3 linked regions of the Drosophila melanogaster genome follow. The protein of the gene in region 1 purifies or fractionates together with the protein of each later gene. This does not show direct contact. Each region holds a gene or a part of one and is shown in the gene's direction. Other genes may lie near its edges.

Region 1 (5,860 bases):
TGTCCATGCAACCGCCTGATTTGCCACCTCGTCAGCAGCAGGCTACCGCCACGACCACCAGTTGCTCTGTGTGGTCGAAACCAGTGGAGGCGCTGTTCAGCAGAAAATCGGAGCCCAAGCCTGAAACTGCCACAGCTTCGACTACGAGCAGCAGTTCCTCTGGAGCAGTGGGACTTATGAGGAGATTAACTCACATGAAAACACGCTCCAAATCTCCGGGAGCGTCCTTGCAGCAAGTTCCGAAAGAAGCTATTAGCACAAATGTGGAATTTACAACAAACCCATCAGCTAAATTGCATCCAGTACATGTAAGGTTAGATCCGCAATAATAAGTTATCTTTATAGACCAGAATAAAAGTTTAATTGTTTTGTCTCTTCAGATCCGGCTCGTGCCCCAGTCAGCTGCAGCACAGTCAACCGCTCAATGAAACTCCAGCAGCCAAGACAGCGGCACAACAACAGCAGTTCCTACCCAAGCAGCTGCCTTCCGCTTCTACGAACAGCGTTTCGTACGGATCGCAACGCGTGAAAGGAAGCAAGGAACGTCCTCACTTGATTTGGTTCGTTAGGCTTAATTTGAATGCTTTAACTTTTAACTGACTCTTGGATTTTGATTCAGCGCGAGACAATCATTAGATGCAGCTACATTTCGCAGTATGTACAACAATGCCGCGTCGCCGCCGCCACCTACTACTTCCGTGGCCCCAGCTGTCTACGCCGGCGGTCAGCAACAGGTGATTCCTGGAGGTGGAGCGCAATCCCAGTTGCATGCCAATATGATTATTGCACCCAGCCATCGGAAGTCGCACAGCCTAGATGCGAGTCATGTGCTGAGTCCCAGCAGCAATATGATCACGGAGGCGGCCATTAAGGCCAGCGCCACCACTAAGTCTCCTTACTGCACGAGGGAAAGGTGGGTTTTGCAATACATTATTGTGAGCTTAGAGATTTACTAATGCAACCTTTTATCGTAGTCGATTCCGCTGCATTGTGCCGTATCCACCAAACAGTGACATTGAACTAGAGCTACATTTGGGCGACATTATCTACGTCCAGCGGAAGCAGAAGAACGGCTGGTATAAGGGCACCCATGCCCGTACCCACAAAACCGGGCTGTTCCCCGCCTCCTTTGTTGAACCGGATTGTTAGGAAAGTTATGGTTCAAACTAGAATTTATTAAGCGAAATTCCAAATTACTTGTCTAAAAGGATTCAATCGTCGGTCTATTCGGGCTTCCAAATACGCAATCTCATATTTCTCTTTTCAAAAAAGAAACCGTTTTGTACTCTTCCAATCGAATGGGCAGCTCGCCGTTGTACTTTTTTATACAATGCTTGATCAAAATAGGCTAGCCATGTAAGACTTAGGGAACAGTTACTTAAGCCTTAGCGATTAGTTAGCTAGAGAAATAATCTAACCGATCCTTGTGCCCTCTACAAAGTTATTTGTAATATACGATACTCAGTAATACCCTTTGGTCGTTTTAACTTATTTTATTCACCAAGCAAAACATCGAGGCTAACTGTGGATTCAACTACGGCAGGCAAGGTTACTCGCTTTTTTCGAACTTGGATCCGTAGATGGGCACGTACTGTAGGACCAGCTTCCAGTCGGTGTAGTAAAGCACGGCCAGGCCAGCAGCTCCTCCGAATCCGGCTCCAGATCGGATGCTACGAATTAAAAGAAACTAGTTTAGTTCTCTGGATGGGGTTATGCAATGTGTGCTTTGGTAGCAGTAAAAGAGCGGGAACACTAATGAATTCATGATGCAGAATCAAGCACGACAGCATATACTTACAAGGAACTCGCTATCTCAGCGTGCTTCTTGCCAAAAGGTATGCGGAAAGCCATTTTTGTTGATTTAATAACTTTTCACACGCACCAAAATGTTCGCAATGAACGCAATAGTTTCAAATGTCCTAAATAATACCACTACAGTGTGACCGTAGGATAGCGTAAAACTTTAAAAGCAAGGTGTGACAACACTGTGCGGCCTACGTGAGAACAACAACTAGTCATCAACAAAAACTAATATTCGCAAAGAACTCATCAAAAATTACGAAATTAAAATGAAAATATCCGTTTTTGGGGAGCTTAACACATTCGAGCTGTTTGTCCTGTCCACTGTGATACCGGCGGTGTTCGTTTTCCTTTGGACTCTGATATCTGGCGATATGAAGGTACGGCAGATAGTGCTTATCAGAATGGTTAATTTTAAGTAATTTTCCCTTTCTGCCCTGAGTTTACAGAACTTCAAGGGCAGCAAATTGGCATACTCAGTTTATACGGCCAAGGATCCCATTAATTGCTATCAAGACTACGAACCAGAGAAGCAAAAGGATACGTAGACTATGTGCCGGGTTGGATTACCAGGGCCCACCATCTTTTATACTTTTATTGCATATATGTATGTATGCAAATTGTGTGATGAATAGAAGAGGGTTTTTGAAAAAAGACAATAAACCTTTGTGGGCTGCATTTCATATTTTGTTTTTTCTTTGTAGCTTTCGGCAATTTTCATATATTTGGAAATATTTTAAAAGTAAACAAAAACTTAATTGCAATATGAATCATATTTTGAACCACCTGGTCACACCCACCCCTTGTTGGTATTTTCGCGTTTGTAGCGAACCTTCTCACTGAAGTGAGTCCAGTCAAAGATTTTAAGGTAATTTTTGGCTTTCTAATTGTTTAAACGCTTACTTATCGACGGATATTGCGGGTTTTGATCGTGTCCTGCGCACTTCCTGGTGCCCATACGCACCAGCAATCCGATAGTCCTGAAGTCTGGCCGAAAAACCAAAACAAACAAAGAAGACAACTACGCAGAAGACGAACAAAAACAATGTCGGAAACATACGGTTTGTCAGCACACATTTAATTAATTAATGCATTTTACTAATTAATATCGGTGCTCGGCGCTCACCTAGATTACCTGTTCAAGTTCCTGATAATTGGCAGTGCTGGCAGCGGTAAGAGTTGTCTGTTGCATCACTTCATCGAGAGCAAGTGTAAGTTTGGTGGTAGCCTGAAAATGGTACACGCCTAATGCATTTTATACATTTTGATGTACCATCAAAGTCAAAGACGACAGTTCGCACACCATCGGAGTGGAGTTCGGCTCGCGGATTGTGAACGTGGGCGGCAAGTCGGTAAAGCTACAGATATGGGACACAGCCGGTCAGGAGAGATTCCGATCGGTGACAAGATCGTACTATCGCGGAGCAGCCGGAGCTCTCCTGGTCTACGATGCCACTTCGCGGGACTCTTTCAATGCTTTGACAAACTGGCTGAATGATGCTCGCACTCTGGCCAGCCCAAATATTGTGATCCTTTTGGTGGGCAATAAAAAGGACTTGGAGGAGGCGCGTGATGTGACCTTTCTGGAAGCAAGCACCTTTGCCCAAGAGAACGGTCTGTTTTTTAGGATTCTCCATAAATTTCCTATCGTAATTCTACGTCTGTTTGTCGTTGCAGAGCTTATCTTCCTGGAGACGAGCGCCAAGACGGGGGAGAATGTTGAAGAGGCCTTTCTCAAGTGCTCAAAGACCATACTGGCCAAAATTGAGACCGGAGAGCTGGATCCCGAGCGCATCGGCAGCGGTATTCAGTACGGCGGAGCTGCTCTCCGTAACTTACAGACACGACAGCGCAGCATCAATAAGCCGGATTGCACCTGTCGCGTTTAAGTCGCATAAGTTGTGCTGATTTATTTCCATTTAATCTCAAACCGGAATGCGCATTCGGATTACCCCTTAGTTGTATTGTGTACTTGTGTGTGTCCACTTTTTTAGTATGTATTTTGTCTTGCTAGATTAATCATTCCAATTGTAAGCATAATGCTAATCGATTTGTTTTTTAACATAACCAATTACCACTTTGAAAACCTATGATTTCGGGTTAACCCCAAATGTTACTTACTATAATTTGTAATTCGTGAAGCACTAGAGCCCTCGAGCAACAAATGATGTATGGCTATAAGCACATGGATCTGATCTAGAGGATGAACAGAATACACTCGGCATTTTTAATGTAAATAAGTAGCGATACGCCGTTGACGACGTCGCCGATTGTAAATCCCATTGAAGCATGCACGCGGTAAATAAAAACGCCCATTGATAAATTCAATTGTATAAAAATATTTATTTCGACCCAAGGTAACAAATATTGTATTGGGGAAGCTATTAAATTTTATTAATAACAATGAAGCTAAAACATTTTAAATGGCAATAATTGATAAAAAAATAATTAAAAACCGTTTGTATTTGAGGAAATTGGCATAGCATCTTTAGATTGTGTTTCCAAATGGGCTGTTTTTGTTTTGATTTAAAAGGTCTTAACAATTTATGGTGATCAAAAATGATTTTTTGGTTTTAGACATTTATGTCTATTAAAGCGATGGAAAAGTATTTTTTAATTCTAAGATATACAGTTAAGTTCATTAGGTGCCCTTTGCTGTCCTCTTCCAAAGGATTACGTCTTGGCTAGAAAGCAAATTCAATGCAGTTTAGCAGAAACTAGACTGGGCTGGAATCATCATATTAGGCGTCGCATTTGCTTAGCTGCTGAAGGGCGTGCTTGGCAGCCGATAGCTTGGCCTGGTCCTTATTGCTCCCAAATCCGTACACCTTGATCGTCTTTTCCATGCAGGTAAATTGACAACTAACCATTACAGTTTCCCCTTCGACGATGGGCGAGCTAAACACGGGCTTCGCATGCTTGTGCTCAACGAGCTGTCGTATATGATTGATGGGCACTTTGCGCGTGAACTCCTGAAGCTCCGGCTCGAAGAGATTGAAAATTACCTCCCAAGTACGTTGGAGATCTCGGCAGTCCAGGTATACGGCTGCAATAAGGGCCTCCAGAACATCCCCCAACGCCTTTGGCACATCCACGTTTGTGGACATGTTGAACTCACCTTTTGGTGGGACTCCTTTCTCTGCTTCCTGAGAAATGCATTTATTTGCATGCGGTAACTCAGTCATATCCAATTCGTCATCCAAGTCCAGCGGAGTCGGCTGAACATCAGCTTCCTCGAGCAGAATGCGCACATAGTTGGTAACCCGGTGACCCTGGCTCTCCTGGAAATTCACGAATTTGGATATGATCTCGGAGAGCTTTGCGTTCTCCGCTAGGATAAAAAAGTGCAACCGATGCCGCACGCAAATGCAGGCCAGCGTAGTATTGTTGACCAAAGCGGAACGCAGATCTGTGAGGGCGCCCGGATTCATTTTCGTATTGTTCTCGAAAATATAGGCAGAGATTAGAAAGTCGAGTATGGCATCGCCAATAAATTCCAGCTCCTGATAGGACCCAGTGATGCGATTAGTGGGATACGAGGGATGGGTGAGGGCCTGCAACAAATATCGTCGATCCTTAAACGTGTAGCCAAGATTTTTTTCCAAATAATAGTGATTTATGAGAAAGCCGTCAATTTCTGTAGTATTCACGTTCGCCCGCATTTTCTTGCCGCCCAGTTCGAGGTTCAGTAACTGAGTAAGCGGCTTGTCAATATCCGCACGGCAAATCTTGAAGTACTCTAGCATCTTGAAGGCATGCTGCAATCCGTAGTTCTTAACGATTACGCCCAATAGCGCCTCAAGGGTATCGGCTATCACCTTGTTGGGAATCGTGACCAGTCCCACGCAGAAGTTCACCTCGGATGAAAAATCGGCACCGGCATAAAAGGACTGCCCATTTGCTCGACATCCCTCCACGAAGCGGTTGTAGTTGATATCGCTGCAGTTGCCCTTCACCAGGGACTCCTCATCGCCGAGAGCCAAGTCACGGAGATTGTGTGGGCCAATAATCTTTGCGAATTCCGGATTTTCTCGCCACAAGGCTAGAACATTGTGGGGCA
Region 2 (5,667 bases), on another chromosome or scaffold:
CATCCCCCACTTAATACGGAAATAAAATACTACCCCATCAATCAATCAATACGTGCTGATGTAAGCAAATAATCCAGTACAAAACTGAGACGTCACGCGTGATTACCGAACGTAGTCGCAGGACATTTCAAGGACCTGCCACAGGCAGTGTGTGCGACCATTTCGTAGAATCGGCCCGACTGATTGGTAGCTATGCCCGCTTATGGCTACGTGATCGCCCAGCTGGGAGGACACATACGGTAGAAGTATCGGCGCGACTCCTCGCAATTTGTTCCGGAGCATTTGCATCTGCATTTATCCACATCGAAGGCGTGCGGGCTCCACGGCCACAAAACACAAGGCAATTGCCAGTCTGGACCCTGGACCTGACCCCACTGATGCGCACTTGTCCCGTTTCTAGCCAAATGCGTCTACTCAAACTAGAAACATTCCGCTGATTTAGACAGGGGGACATGCGAAGGGTAACCGTTTGTCAAAGGGGGTCTCTTTCAGAAAAGATTCTCGCTTTTATTCTATATATTTGTATAAACATATACACATACATACAAAAAAGTGACGTATTTTAAAAAATAATTGAAAAACATATTGAACATTTAAAAGTAATACATGAAATTTTAGTTTCCTGGAATTAAACTTGCGTCTGATTCCTTTAAAGGCGGAGTGTCGCTAAAATTTTAATTAGCGCCAAAAATAATACCTTTATTTAATACATTATTTTGCGAAGTCTGAAAACTGATTTCCTTTAAAAGATTTTCTAATTTATGGCCGCTCCGTTGAAACCCCCTTGTTCAGCTGCATTTGCAAATCTAGTGGGGTCCTTCAGCGCCCCTCACCTTGCCCCGCCCATGCCCGATGCCCCTCTGTCTGCAGCACACACACACACACACATGGCACCTTCGCTTTGTCCCGAAAATTTCCATCGATTTGATTTATATGCAAAATATTTAGATTTTATTGCCGGTTTGCATATGGGCCAGCAGACGGACAGATGGACAGACGGAGGAGTCAGGACCCAGGAGGTTTAAGTGAGATCGATAGTTATAGTTGGAAAAATTCGCACACAACCACAGCCACACGCGGTCACATGCGAGAAAAGTTGGAAAAACAGCTTAGGTTGTAAAGATAATTTATGCAGCTGTTGGTAATATTGAAACCGAAATGTAAATAAAAACAAGGGAAAGTGTTGGGAAAGTCCGTTTTGGCAACCCAAATACAACGACCCCTTTTCCACCTGTTATCTTCCACGTTGTGTTTGGTATACCCGTTATTCGTAGAGTAAGAGGGTAACCTAGATTCGTTGAAAAGTATGTAACATGTAACAGTTAGAAAGCATTTCCGATCATATAAGGCATATATATTTGTGATCAGGATCCGCCCGTATATGAGTTTTGAGATCTCAGGAACTATAGTAGCTAGAAGGTTGAGATTATACATGCAGACTCTAGAGACATAGACGAAGCGCAAGTTTGTTGACTCATGTTGCCACGCCGACTTTAACGCCCACAAGCCGCCTAAAACTGCCACGCCCACACTTTTAAAAAATGTTTTGACTTTTCTTCGTTTTATTGTTCGTCTTGCCAATTTTTATCTGTATACCAAAAACACTGTGGCCACTCCCATATACAAAACGCCCAAGACAGTCACGCTCACAATTTTAAACAATTAATACATTTTTTTTTTCGTTTAAATTTCTATTTATCCCGATATCTATCGATTTCCTAAAAAAAAAAAATTTACATATTTTCGCTTTCACATTTCCAGTAGCCTTGTAACTGGTATCTGATAGTCGGGCAACTTGACTCTCTTGTTTTGTTTGTGCTTGTTTTGGGAAAGGTTCTGGTTATGAGGAAAATGGAAAATTGGCAGGCGATTAAAGGCCATTGATTTTAGGAGGTTCTTCTTCAAGTGCAGCTAATGAGGGGCCTCCCTCCGCCTGCTTTTTGTATTGCCAACTTGCAACTTTCCACATTTTTCATTATGTCGCAGACATGGCGAAAATGAAAAGGAGCTGCTAAATGGGAGGCCCGACTGGCCGGGGGGGCGTGGGAGGCGTGTCAGGAATTATGTTGATTGTTTGCTCTAGCCAAGGAAATAATTAAGCAAGAGATGGCAGCAACGGAGACACGGGCAAGAAACTCGAGCATAATTCGCTGGCGCCAAGTCAAAAACATATATATATATGTATATATACCAAAAATATCTGAGCTCTGCTGCACAGCGGATAAAATATTTGTCTTCTTTTACAAATCTTTATCTTAAAAAAGGCACAAAAAATGTAAGCAGTCGGATTTTTTTATCTAAGCAGTCGTATACTTGATTTCACACAAGCATAGCTTACTTTCAGATTATTATTAAAGCTTCTGCACAACATTTCATCCAAGTGTACGGATTTTACCATCCGGCTGCAAAAACAAATTGCGAAATAGTCAACAGCTTTTTGCGACTCACTGTGTGTGCGTCGGTTTTTCGCCGCTGCTCCAAGTTAATCTAATTAGTGAGCCACTTGAAGCTGCAGTTTTGATTTACGTTTCGGGCTGACACTGGAGATTAGCCAGGAAAAGGCAATCGCCGCGCCCTGAAATCCCTCTCCGCATTTTGACATCAAAGAGTTTTACCAATTTCCGCACAAAATGTTTGCAATAGATCGCTGGCCATCACCCCTTTGCCTTTGAATGTCGGCATCATTTCGGTTAGATTTCGGTTCATTTTATCGAATTTCATTAGCGGCAACAGCGATTCCAATTTCCAATTTACTATTTCCATTTAGTCTGGGACTGGCATTTTACAATTTTGCACTTAAACGCCCCCACCAGCCAATTGTTTCCTCCTCTGGCAATCCGGCTTCGAATGGGATTTTATTTATTTATTACGCACACGCAGCAAGTCCAAACACAGCGCATTCCTTTGTCCTCGTGGGTCCTTTGTCCTTTCAGACGAACTGAGCAAATATTTAGAAATATTTGGGCGTCGAAAATCGGACTCGTCTCCCCAGGGCCATGAATAAATTAATTGACCAGCCCACAAGTATTTAAGCTTGGTCACGAAAACATCATAGTTTTAGTTATCGAAAGTCGCGAGCACAATAGCGAACATAGGATTTTACTATTTATAATCAAAGCGGTGTATCTTTCTTTTCCGCTTACCTATTTAAGATTCTAAAATGTTGTGTAAAGTATTGGTAGTACATTGAAACCTTTTTGAATAGGCCTGGTGAAAGTACTCAGTACAATGTCATTTAGGCTCTATGACAGATTTGCCGTACCATTCAGTCTCAGCCAGAGCTCCGTTGGCTGAACAACAAAATCAAAATTTATATTTTTTTACAAGTTTTTCCATAAAAAGAAGTGCATCCGTTTTCTAAGCAAGAAAGACGAAAAATGACCATAATGGCTATATCAAACGACACATTTGAAAATGAACAGCAGGTGGCGGTAAGGCAAGAAGCACCCAATGCCATTGGTAACATCCCGGATGTGGTGGAGTCGGCTTCCCGCCCACAAAAATACACGTTCCATGAGATCTATCAGATGATTACAGCCCTCACCTGGCCCCGAATTCTGTTTGATTTGCTCGTGCGCCACGAGTGGAACTCCATCTTTTTGAGCCTAGGCTTTCTTATCCTCAATGCCTTCGAGGTCCTTCAAAGCTTCAATCTGTTGCAACAGCTGGCTGTAGTCGGCATGATGATCCTGAGCAACATAATGATCTACAAGGCCATCCGGCCGTATGTGCGATTCCATCTTTACGAGCGTCTGATCCGCGCCGATTTCAATGTGCACATCACCCAGGAAATGGTTGTGCGCGTGGTCAACTGTGTAAATCGCTGCTTGGTCACGCTGCATTGCATCCTCTTTCAAACTGAAATCTTCGAGCTCTTTTTGATGATGCTTGCCCTGGAGGCAGTGCGTAACATCATCTGGTATACTAACATCTTCTTGCTAATTAGGATCGGTAAGTTTTCCATATGCGACCTCAAATGAACACACGCAAATTATTCCAATCAAGCTTTTATTGTTTTTAGTATTACTTTTAATATATATTAAGAAATGCAATCTCTCTTGCAGTCTTATGTGTGACGTTGTTTTTTCCAAGGCTTTTCGATAATGATATTGATAATGCGTCGAGCAGAGCCTATTATCAGATATGTGTGCTGCAGATCGTTGACAAGCTTGAGGAGATAGGCGTGGAGGTGCATCTAGGCATCATTGAGCGCTGGAAGCAGGAAGTGGATGCCATGAGGGAGTTGTATTACGAGATTGAGGACTGGCCAAACCAAGAGTAGTTTCATGATGATATCGAGATCTAGTAAAATATATGGCTTCGCCGAGGATAATAGCCCATTATGGCAGTTATGGATAACTTTTGTATTTAACTTCTTAATTGTTTCCATACACTCCATACAACTACAATGCCAAATTCGCACAATCTACCTATCAAAAACATCAAATTACACCTTACACTTTAAATTTGTCCTTGCTTTATTTCATTTAAATTAAATTATGTACACTGCACACTGAAAAACTGTCTCCTGTTTCATTTAATTTAAAGGTTAAAGGAAAGCCCATTGAGTACCAGGCTTATATTGAGGGAAATAACCGGGTTGTGAAGTGGTCAAATCTGATTGATTTTCGGTGTGGAAATTAATTAAAGCCTCCTGTTATTCCGCGCAACTTTCGGGCGATAAAAATCGCACCCAGAACGTGACAAAGGACGATAAAGTTAAAGGCGCCGAGAGCAAGCAAACATGCGACCCACCGAAGTTGCTAAAGTTGAATATGGATGGAGGCGAGGGGCGGAGGGGTGCTACAGTGGCAGAAACTGGGCGGTGAATGCAACGCAGCCTTGTCGATGGTTAATCATTAAAACCGCCTCCACGGCCCAACGGCTCAAGATGGCCAGATTTATTCATTAGCGGAGTGTGTGCGGCTCGGAAATCACTGCGGGCCAGTGGGGGCATTAAGAATGTAGTGGGCTCTCGGCAGGAAGTATACGAAAATCGAAGGAGAAGGTGGGCGGCGATGGCGGGGTCAAAGGAAGAGGGCGACAGGAAGTGGGTGAAAATTGGGCAGTAGGAGCGGAGTGGAAGTGATGTGGGTGGGTCGTAGGGTACGGGACGGGACCCTTTTCTTCTTGCAATTTGCACTCAATTGCAATTTCCGTCCGCCGCTGCCATTTGCTACGTGGCTGCCACGTGAAAAGCCATCGACCTCCCCTTCTCTGCCGAGCCCCTGCAACGCCCCTGCCTACGTGCTGAGCGGAGCAAAACGCGCAGAAATTTGTTTTGCCATTTTGTTTAGTTGTTAGTTGTTGCCGCGGCGGTTCGCCCTTTTCCGGCTTTCCGCCCTCCCACCTTCCTTCCATGTTGTTTTTTTTTTAAATATCAATATAAAACGTGACAAAATGGACTTTTGCCTCGACAAAGCTCAGAAAGCAGCGCGGATGGGCGGCAGGATGGTACACTCGGGAAATCCCATATACATTTCATTCGAGAAATGTTATGCTGTGCGATTTAGCCTCAATCGCTAGCTTTTGACTATATTTACAAAATATGGAAAGAGAATATATATATATATTTACTTGATGGAAAAACGTGTGCGACTCATTCGAGAAAAAGGTATTTCGAACAAGGTGGCTTACGCTACGACTTAAATATAAAATATTTTGCAT
Region 3 (6,884 bases), on another chromosome or scaffold:
TTGATCTAAAAGGTACAAAAAATTAACGTAGAGTACAATGTTTTTTATTATTTAGATTAAAGCAATGATAGATATACGTAGTTTGTGAGATATATGGCAAAGTATTCATGAGGCCCCATCGCTTTAAGGAAATTTCGCTTTAGCTTAGTTCTTCTTGCCACCCACCCACGTTCTTAAATTCTAAGCGCACGCTTTTCGTGCCTCGGTCTCCTGTCTTTTTTGCACAAGCAAACTAAATTTTGCTTCAGTTCAATGTAAATATAACCAAATGATCGGATACGCTTCACAGTTCCATAAAACATAATGTACAAAAAATTAAACATCTGTTGCACCGCTCACAGCCTACTCGTTGAGCAGGCAGGTGCGAACAATGGCGTTGCACACGGCGTAGGGATCACAGTTGGAGCTTGGCCGCCGGTCTTCGAGGTATCCTTTGCCGGCCGTCGCAACGCCACGCGGCACTCGCACACTTACGGCCCGGTTGGCCACGCCCCAAGAAAACTTATCGATGCTAGAAGTCTCAAGACGTCCCACGAGGCGCCGTTCATTGTCTTTGCCTTCCTTGGGGTCGTATGCCTTGATGTGCCGCTCGTGGCGCTTGCTCAGCTTCTCGATAGCTTCCTCGATGGCCTTGATTCCGCCATCAGCACGCATCTCCTTTGTGGAAAAGTTGGTATGCGCGCCGGCTCCGTTCCACTGACCCTCCATCGGTTTGGGGTCAAAGGTGACCACTACGCCATACTCCTCAGCTATGCGCTGCAAAATATATCGCGACACCCATAAATCGTCACATGCCTTAATCCCGGCTGGACCAATTTGGAACTCCCACTGCGCGGGCATTACCTCGGCATTGGTGCCGGCGAAGTCGATCCCAGCATACAGGCAGGCCACGACGTGGGCCTCCACAAGATCGCGAGCGTACACACGGTCAGCTCCCACGCCGCAGTAGTAAGGACCTTGTGGGGCTGGGAAACCGTTCTCCGGCCAGCCGAAGGGACGTCCGTCCACGTCTAATAAAGTGTATTCTTGCTCAATGCCGAACCAGGGCTCCTGATCGCTAATTAGGTCAATGGCTGCCTGGAACGCGGCACGCTTGTTGGACGCCGTCGGCTTGCCGTCGGCGCTGTAGGTGTCGCACAGGACAATTACGTCGTTCTTTCCCGGCTTAAAGGGATCGCGATATATGGCGCGTGGCTTGAGCGTGGTGTCCGAGTTCTCGCCATGGGCCTGGTAGGTGGAACTGCCGTCGTACTGCCAATCCGGCAAGTCCTCCACGGAGCTGGGTACTTTGTCCAAAACGCGATCCTTGAGGCGAATGTTCTCGCCGGTACCGTCGATCCATAAGTAAGTAGCCTGCACTCGATTGGCCGGCGTTTCCAGGTTGCGGTACCTCTGCAGAATGCTCTTGTCTAGAGCCGTGTTGGGGGAGTTGGCCAAGAACTGGGAGCGGGTGGTATTGCCAGTACGCAGCAGACGCAGCTGCTGTGTTGCGGGAGCCACCAGCTCCTTCTTCAGGAAGAGTCCTGCCACGCGTAGTGCCATCTTGGTTCTTGGATTGGAGTCGGCGAGAAGGACAAAAGGACACGGTTAGTTATGTATTGCTGGCGAATGTGAGGACGTGCGCAGGAAGGGCAAGGGCTGGTGGCATGCTGGCTCACTCTGCTTTTCTCATGAATTTTTATGTAATTATTTTCCTTGCACTTGATTTTCCGAGGTAGTTAAAAAAGGGGTACTTTTCCAGTGAAGACGCAGTCTTCCGCACAACTTACCGTGCTCTGCTCGTTTTTCCACTTTACAGTTATATGATTGGTTAAACAGTCGCTGGTTGGACAGGTCTTTTGGTAATTTTGGATTGCGGTACTTTCGGTTTTCGTTTCTGTTTCTGTCAGGGGCTGCGGAGCGACTGTTGGGGACACCCGACCAATTCGATGTTTGGAAGTCTTGTGAGCACAGTTAGCGCGACAGCATTCACTTTTTTCGTTGTTTCGTCGCGCGCCTCGGGTTTTTCTTTATCTCGTTTGCGACGCCGACGCACAGACAAAGGCCTCCCAGAGAGCATTCAAAACTGGCGGTATATGAGCACCCGCTCCGCAGCCACTAGCCAGAGAGACCTGCAATGCGACCCATAATGTTTATGTTTCGAGGCTAGTCGGGTAGCCAAAAGCCCCGTTACTGAGCACACGCTATAAGCTCATTTATGCATTTCGAGCACTTGTAGCTTGCATTAGCGCCAAATGAAAAACAAAAGTTTTTAGTAATTCTCATCGTAGAACACCTGCACCATTTATGTGCATGGCCCACTTTAGAACCCACAAATTAAGTTCTACATTTTTGATAAATTCATTTCAGAAACTATGATAGGTTACGCAGTATGCAGATGCATTTCAGCAGTACTACTTATTACAACACTCTCTCATTTCTCGTAATCTCTTCGTAAAAACCTCCACCATTTTGCTCTTTGGCTGATTGTTTTGAATACACGCCTGGTACAAAGTTCACTATATACAATTAAATATAGCGAATGCAAGGAGCACCGTATCAGCTGTGTCTATTCGTGTTTGGCATTTGATAAACTCTGTGGTGGACCGCATTAATAGAGCCTTAAATGAAGCAATAATGATTTGTTTATAATATGTAAATTCGGTACTAAATGTTCCTATTCCTGGCTTGGGTCTCGCATACGACGTTCTGAATATTAAAAATATATCTAACTAAAACTATAACTAAAATAGCAGTATAAGTACACAGTGTAGCCAACTTTTAGGCTGAGTATGTAAAACGTTGAAATTTAAATGCTATGTAAATTCTGATCTAAATATCCTGTGTGGAGGATATTCAATATTTATTTGTTACAGATTATACTTAGTCCTAGGCCGTCGTTCATCAAGCCACGCATATTGGCCCACTCCCTCCTACATAATGGCATGTTGTCGCACAAAAGCCGAGACCACAGATATGTCTTCCAATTATTTGTTGGTTGCCTCGTAACTTAGAGGAAAGTACTGAAGAACGGATGAGTATATTTCAGATAGGATTAATGTTAAAATAAAGCTAAAACTCTGTTTCTGGCGGGAAAGCAAGCTTTTTTGGACGGCTCATATTGGGAGAGCTTCAGGTGGGCATAACAAAGAAAACAAGGAAAACAGAGGAAACTTTTATGTGCCAATGTGTGAGTGCCACTTTTCACCATAGACCCGAGTAATTCCCATATAGCCGTCTACGCTTTTCCAGTTACGTGGCATCGTTTCCACTAGTTGGCCGGCTTCAGTTTTCGCAAGAAACTACGAAAGTTTCCCTCCAGCAGAGTGTACATATTTTTACACCCGATGTGCAACAACCAAATACAAAATCGCTAATTCTTATATTCGGTTTGGGTTTCGACTGCCTATTCGTTATTGCCTGCGACTTAGCTTTCGCGAAGGCAACTTGTTGCTTCAAAGCGATGGTTTCAGTAGCTGTTGAGTTACGGCACCATGAACCAGTATAGTTGGAAGCAGTTTTTGGAAAATAATAATCTGTAAGTAGCCGAATCAGGCGGGTCTCAAGCAAAATGCATCACATTTAGTTGGCACATCTAATATACCACACCCCCCGTTTATAAAACGAAATCAACAAGTGTAGAACAACCGGTTTGCAATTCCTGCCAATTGTTGACATCTCCGTGACTTGATTAGCCACAAGCTTTAAAAAATTTCCAAGCCAATAGTCATCGGGAAATTGCCAGTGGAAATACATTATTCTTTCATATCTTAAGGCGACTGCATAACTTTAGTGCTGTATGCTGATTTGAACCCAGAAACCGAACTAGGAATAATATCTCAAATTGCGGTTTGTACTGGGAAAATACCTTTTGTTGGTCAATTCATTACGTTTTTACTTGCCCCAATATATACAATAACCGGTTTAACTAAACGTTATTAGCACTCCCAGTGCAATCCGTAAATCCCAATTAGATTGGGCAAAATATAGACCGGAGCATCGTAAAAGCATGCCAACAAGGAGCCTTACAGCAATGTCTACATCTAACTGTTGCGTTCAGATATACCACAAAACTGTTTCTGGGGCAAAGTTGTAAGGTCGTCCCACGCCATAGCCACAAATGACCTCATGCCACATTAAATGTAGGGAAAAGCAAAATGTAGGTAAAATGTCGCGTAAGCAAACCATTAAAAAGCGTACTAGAGCTCCTTTAAACGAATTACGGCACCGATTAACTTATTTTTACGTAAAACACGAAATGACAAAGTACAACCCCTTATCGGCTCATTGAAAACTCCTATCAGCTGTAGATTGACACCCATAGATAAGCCCCTCCAATAACTCATGAGTCATGAGCGAGGCCGTGAACTTTTAACTTAGATTGAATAAACCAATGGCCAGAACCTTAGCTTCCAGGACTAACTACTATAAAAGGCTGATAAACCAATCAAAGTACAAGACTGGGAATCAAAGACCTTCCTCAAGGTAAAGACTTTCCTCGAAATTAGTTAGTGGTATTTTATTTCGAGATACATGGGTCCGCCGATCGAGGAATATTCACAGATTATAGGCTTTTCCCAAATTCATTCAAGACTTAGTAGAAGAATGCGCTGGCTTTTGAGAGAGAGCCAACCCGCAGTGCCTCTCAATCGCACTAGAATCCCCACCAGAAGTAGTGCTTCTATTGTCGTCCCACTCTAACCACAGACGTAAAGCATTGGGGCTGTGAGAGTATGCGATGGCACTCTCTGTCAGCGGTTGCCTAAATTTCTGCCTTTGTTCCACTGCCGCAATTGCTTATTTCAGTTGCGATCGCGGCGCGAGCGAGTGAAGTCCTAATATTTGAGAAGCGGCAGTACCGTTTCGAGCAGACGGGTGGAAAATTTCTCTCACCGGACCAGACGGTGGTGGAATCGAATCGAGAACGCGAACGAAAAACCAAACGGGAACGAAGGGCAGCAGGGGCTGCAGTATTGCTGTCAGTGCTAAAGTTTACAAAGAATACACACACAACACAGTGGTTGCATTTTGCTTTTTAACCCCTGGTTGATTGATTGACAAGATGACTAAGAACGATAATGCAAATCTGTTGAACGACAACAGACTGGGCACAGCCGGAGCGGGTCAGTTGAAAGCTCAAATAGTACCCGCCCAGCCAAAGACGCTCCAGCACCTCCCCAAGCGACCAGCGGTGGACCTGGCCTTTCACAACCTGACGTACCGCGTCAAGGAGGGGAACCGGAGCAGTAAGTACTTCCACTGTCTAGTACCTCTCTCTATATCAAGCTGCACTCCTCGGCAGCACGAGAGCGGGATCTTGAACCTCCCGCGCCTGCTCTCACCTCACCCTAGAGCTTTTGTTTCCGGTCCTGGCTAGTAGTACTCCGCACATGTGTTATTGAGCTAGTTCTCCGGAGTACTCTGTCGCTATTACGCACTTCCCTGGCTTTAGCGGGTTTTACTTGTTTGCTTTAGCTGCGCTTCGCATTGTGTTGGTTTCTGGTTTCTTTGTTCTTTTAGCAGCTGTAACGCAGTATCAACACTCAGACTGTGAGCAACGGAGAACTTCGGGTTGTGGCTGAGTAGATATGTAACCCGTCGTCTCTTCGTCAAATTCATTTCCCAGTTTCACAAGGGCGGCTCTGGCCAAAGTTCACTAGGTTTCACCGCGATAAGCACTGCTAAATACATCAAAATCATCAGCCAGTAGCCGCGGAGTAACTGCCCACACAAGCTATTTCGCTATTGGGACAGTCAACAACTTGGTTCGATGCCATAGCATCTAAAAGGCGAGGAGCCATGTACTCGCACTTTTCTCACGTAGCAGTGTATCTACTTTAAAGCATGGGTGGAGCACAATGGGGTTTTTTTTTGGATCTACTGCTTTTATGGAAAACAATTTGTGATGACGTGCCAGAGGGAGAGGTATTGTTTTTATACCCTTTCCTCGTAGACTGCCCCTGATCCGCCAAAAAAAAAAGGATTATGAAATTGAGTAGCGGGTATGTTATAGTTGAGGAAGTCAAGACTGATGGCGGCGGTATGTGCTTTCTGTGTTAGCAGAGCGATTAGGATTTAGTCACTGCCAATAGCTAGCTTTAGTCGGGTGTGGTGGTGAAAACACATTTGTGGTAATATGCAGTGCCCCGGTGGGGCCGTTCAGAATAAGTAATGATGGCCGAGCGATAATATTCCATTAGTTTGGTATGCGAACGTGCACAACTGCTTTATTCTTATATTTATAAAAGCTCATTCATGAAACCCACTCCCCTCGTTGTCGCATTGGATGGCTGGCCTCACGGCGGACATAGTCCGTGAATCCCGTCTAAGATTGAGGGACTGTCAAAGCCTGTTTTTAAGCCCAAGGCCAGCCAAGTGCAAAACTAATTGGAGAAGGCAGCAGCCTGAACTTTGCACACCTCAAAGGTCGGCCATCCGACTCAATTAAGTCGTTCAGAATAAGCGAATATACACAGATTTATTTACACTGCCCTGTGAGCGTGCCCCACCTAGCCGAAAGATTTGCAGATGGCACGCCGCCTTCTGGGGTGTGCTAAGTTATGTGCCAAAATAATGTATACAATATAAGATGGAAGTGAGGCAACAGATGGAAATTGCGCTGATTTTGGCTAACTATGCCACTTAAAGTAAACACAATTAATGAAGTAAGTGCCTGCTAACGTTTTCGGCTGCTATATTAAAACAGATATAAATAAATTCTGAAAGCGACTTTCTGTGCCCTTGTTGCAAGTTTGGCGTAACCTTTTCTTAGGAGCCCTGAATGGTTCCACTTGTTGTCCAATCCGGTCATAAACATCAAAGCTACGATTTGGCCTTAGCGCTGGACTATAGTTTTTCAAGCGTGACCCCACTTTTGGTGCTATTACATCAATTGGCAAGCAAGT

Evidence for each region. Proteins that work in one complex are often made in the same cells at the same time.
Region 2: the proteins of Rab4 (region 1) and ccb purify together in Drosophila melanogaster (affinity purification with western blotting, with the first as the bait; one study listed by BioGRID). This does not show direct contact.
Region 3: the proteins of Rab4 (region 1) and CG3164 purify together in Drosophila melanogaster (affinity purification with mass spectrometry, with the first as the bait; one large-scale study listed by BioGRID). This does not show direct contact.

What each region holds. Positions count from the first base shown.
Region 1 is NT_033778.4:17,570,854-17,576,713, forward strand, and holds Rab4 (Rab4), read left to right. Parts: upstream 1-2,608; 5' UTR 2,609-2,845; coding exon 2,846-2,861; intron 2,862-2,930; coding exon 2,931-3,011; intron 3,012-3,081; coding exon 3,082-3,414; intron 3,415-3,477; coding exon 3,478-3,689; 3' UTR 3,690-4,126; downstream 4,127-5,860. Other genes in the region: POSH (plenty of SH3s), read left to right, coding at 1-313, 381-560, 620-913, 975-1,149; UQCR-6.4 (Ubiquinol-cytochrome c reductase 6.4 kDa subunit), read right to left, coding at 1,550-1,670, 1,799-1,851; CG42239 (uncharacterized protein), read left to right, coding at 2,070-2,180, 2,250-2,348; Dcr-2 (Dicer-2), read right to left, coding at 4,542-5,860.
Region 2 is NC_004354.4:21,190,006-21,195,672, forward strand, and holds ccb (central complex broad), read left to right. Parts: upstream 1-3,247; 5' UTR 3,248-3,377; coding exon 3,378-3,951; intron 3,952-4,064; coding exon 4,065-4,282; 3' UTR 4,283-4,516; downstream 4,517-5,667.
Region 3 is NT_033779.5:127,141-134,024, reverse strand, and holds the start of CG3164 (uncharacterized protein), read left to right. Parts: upstream 1-3,233; 5' UTR 3,234-3,473; coding exon 3,474-3,517; intron 3,518-4,779; exon of another isoform or gene 4,780-5,041; coding exon of another isoform or gene 5,042-5,082; coding exon 5,083-5,225; intron 5,226-6,884. Other genes in the region: Gs1 (glutamine synthetase 1), read right to left, coding at 343-1,542.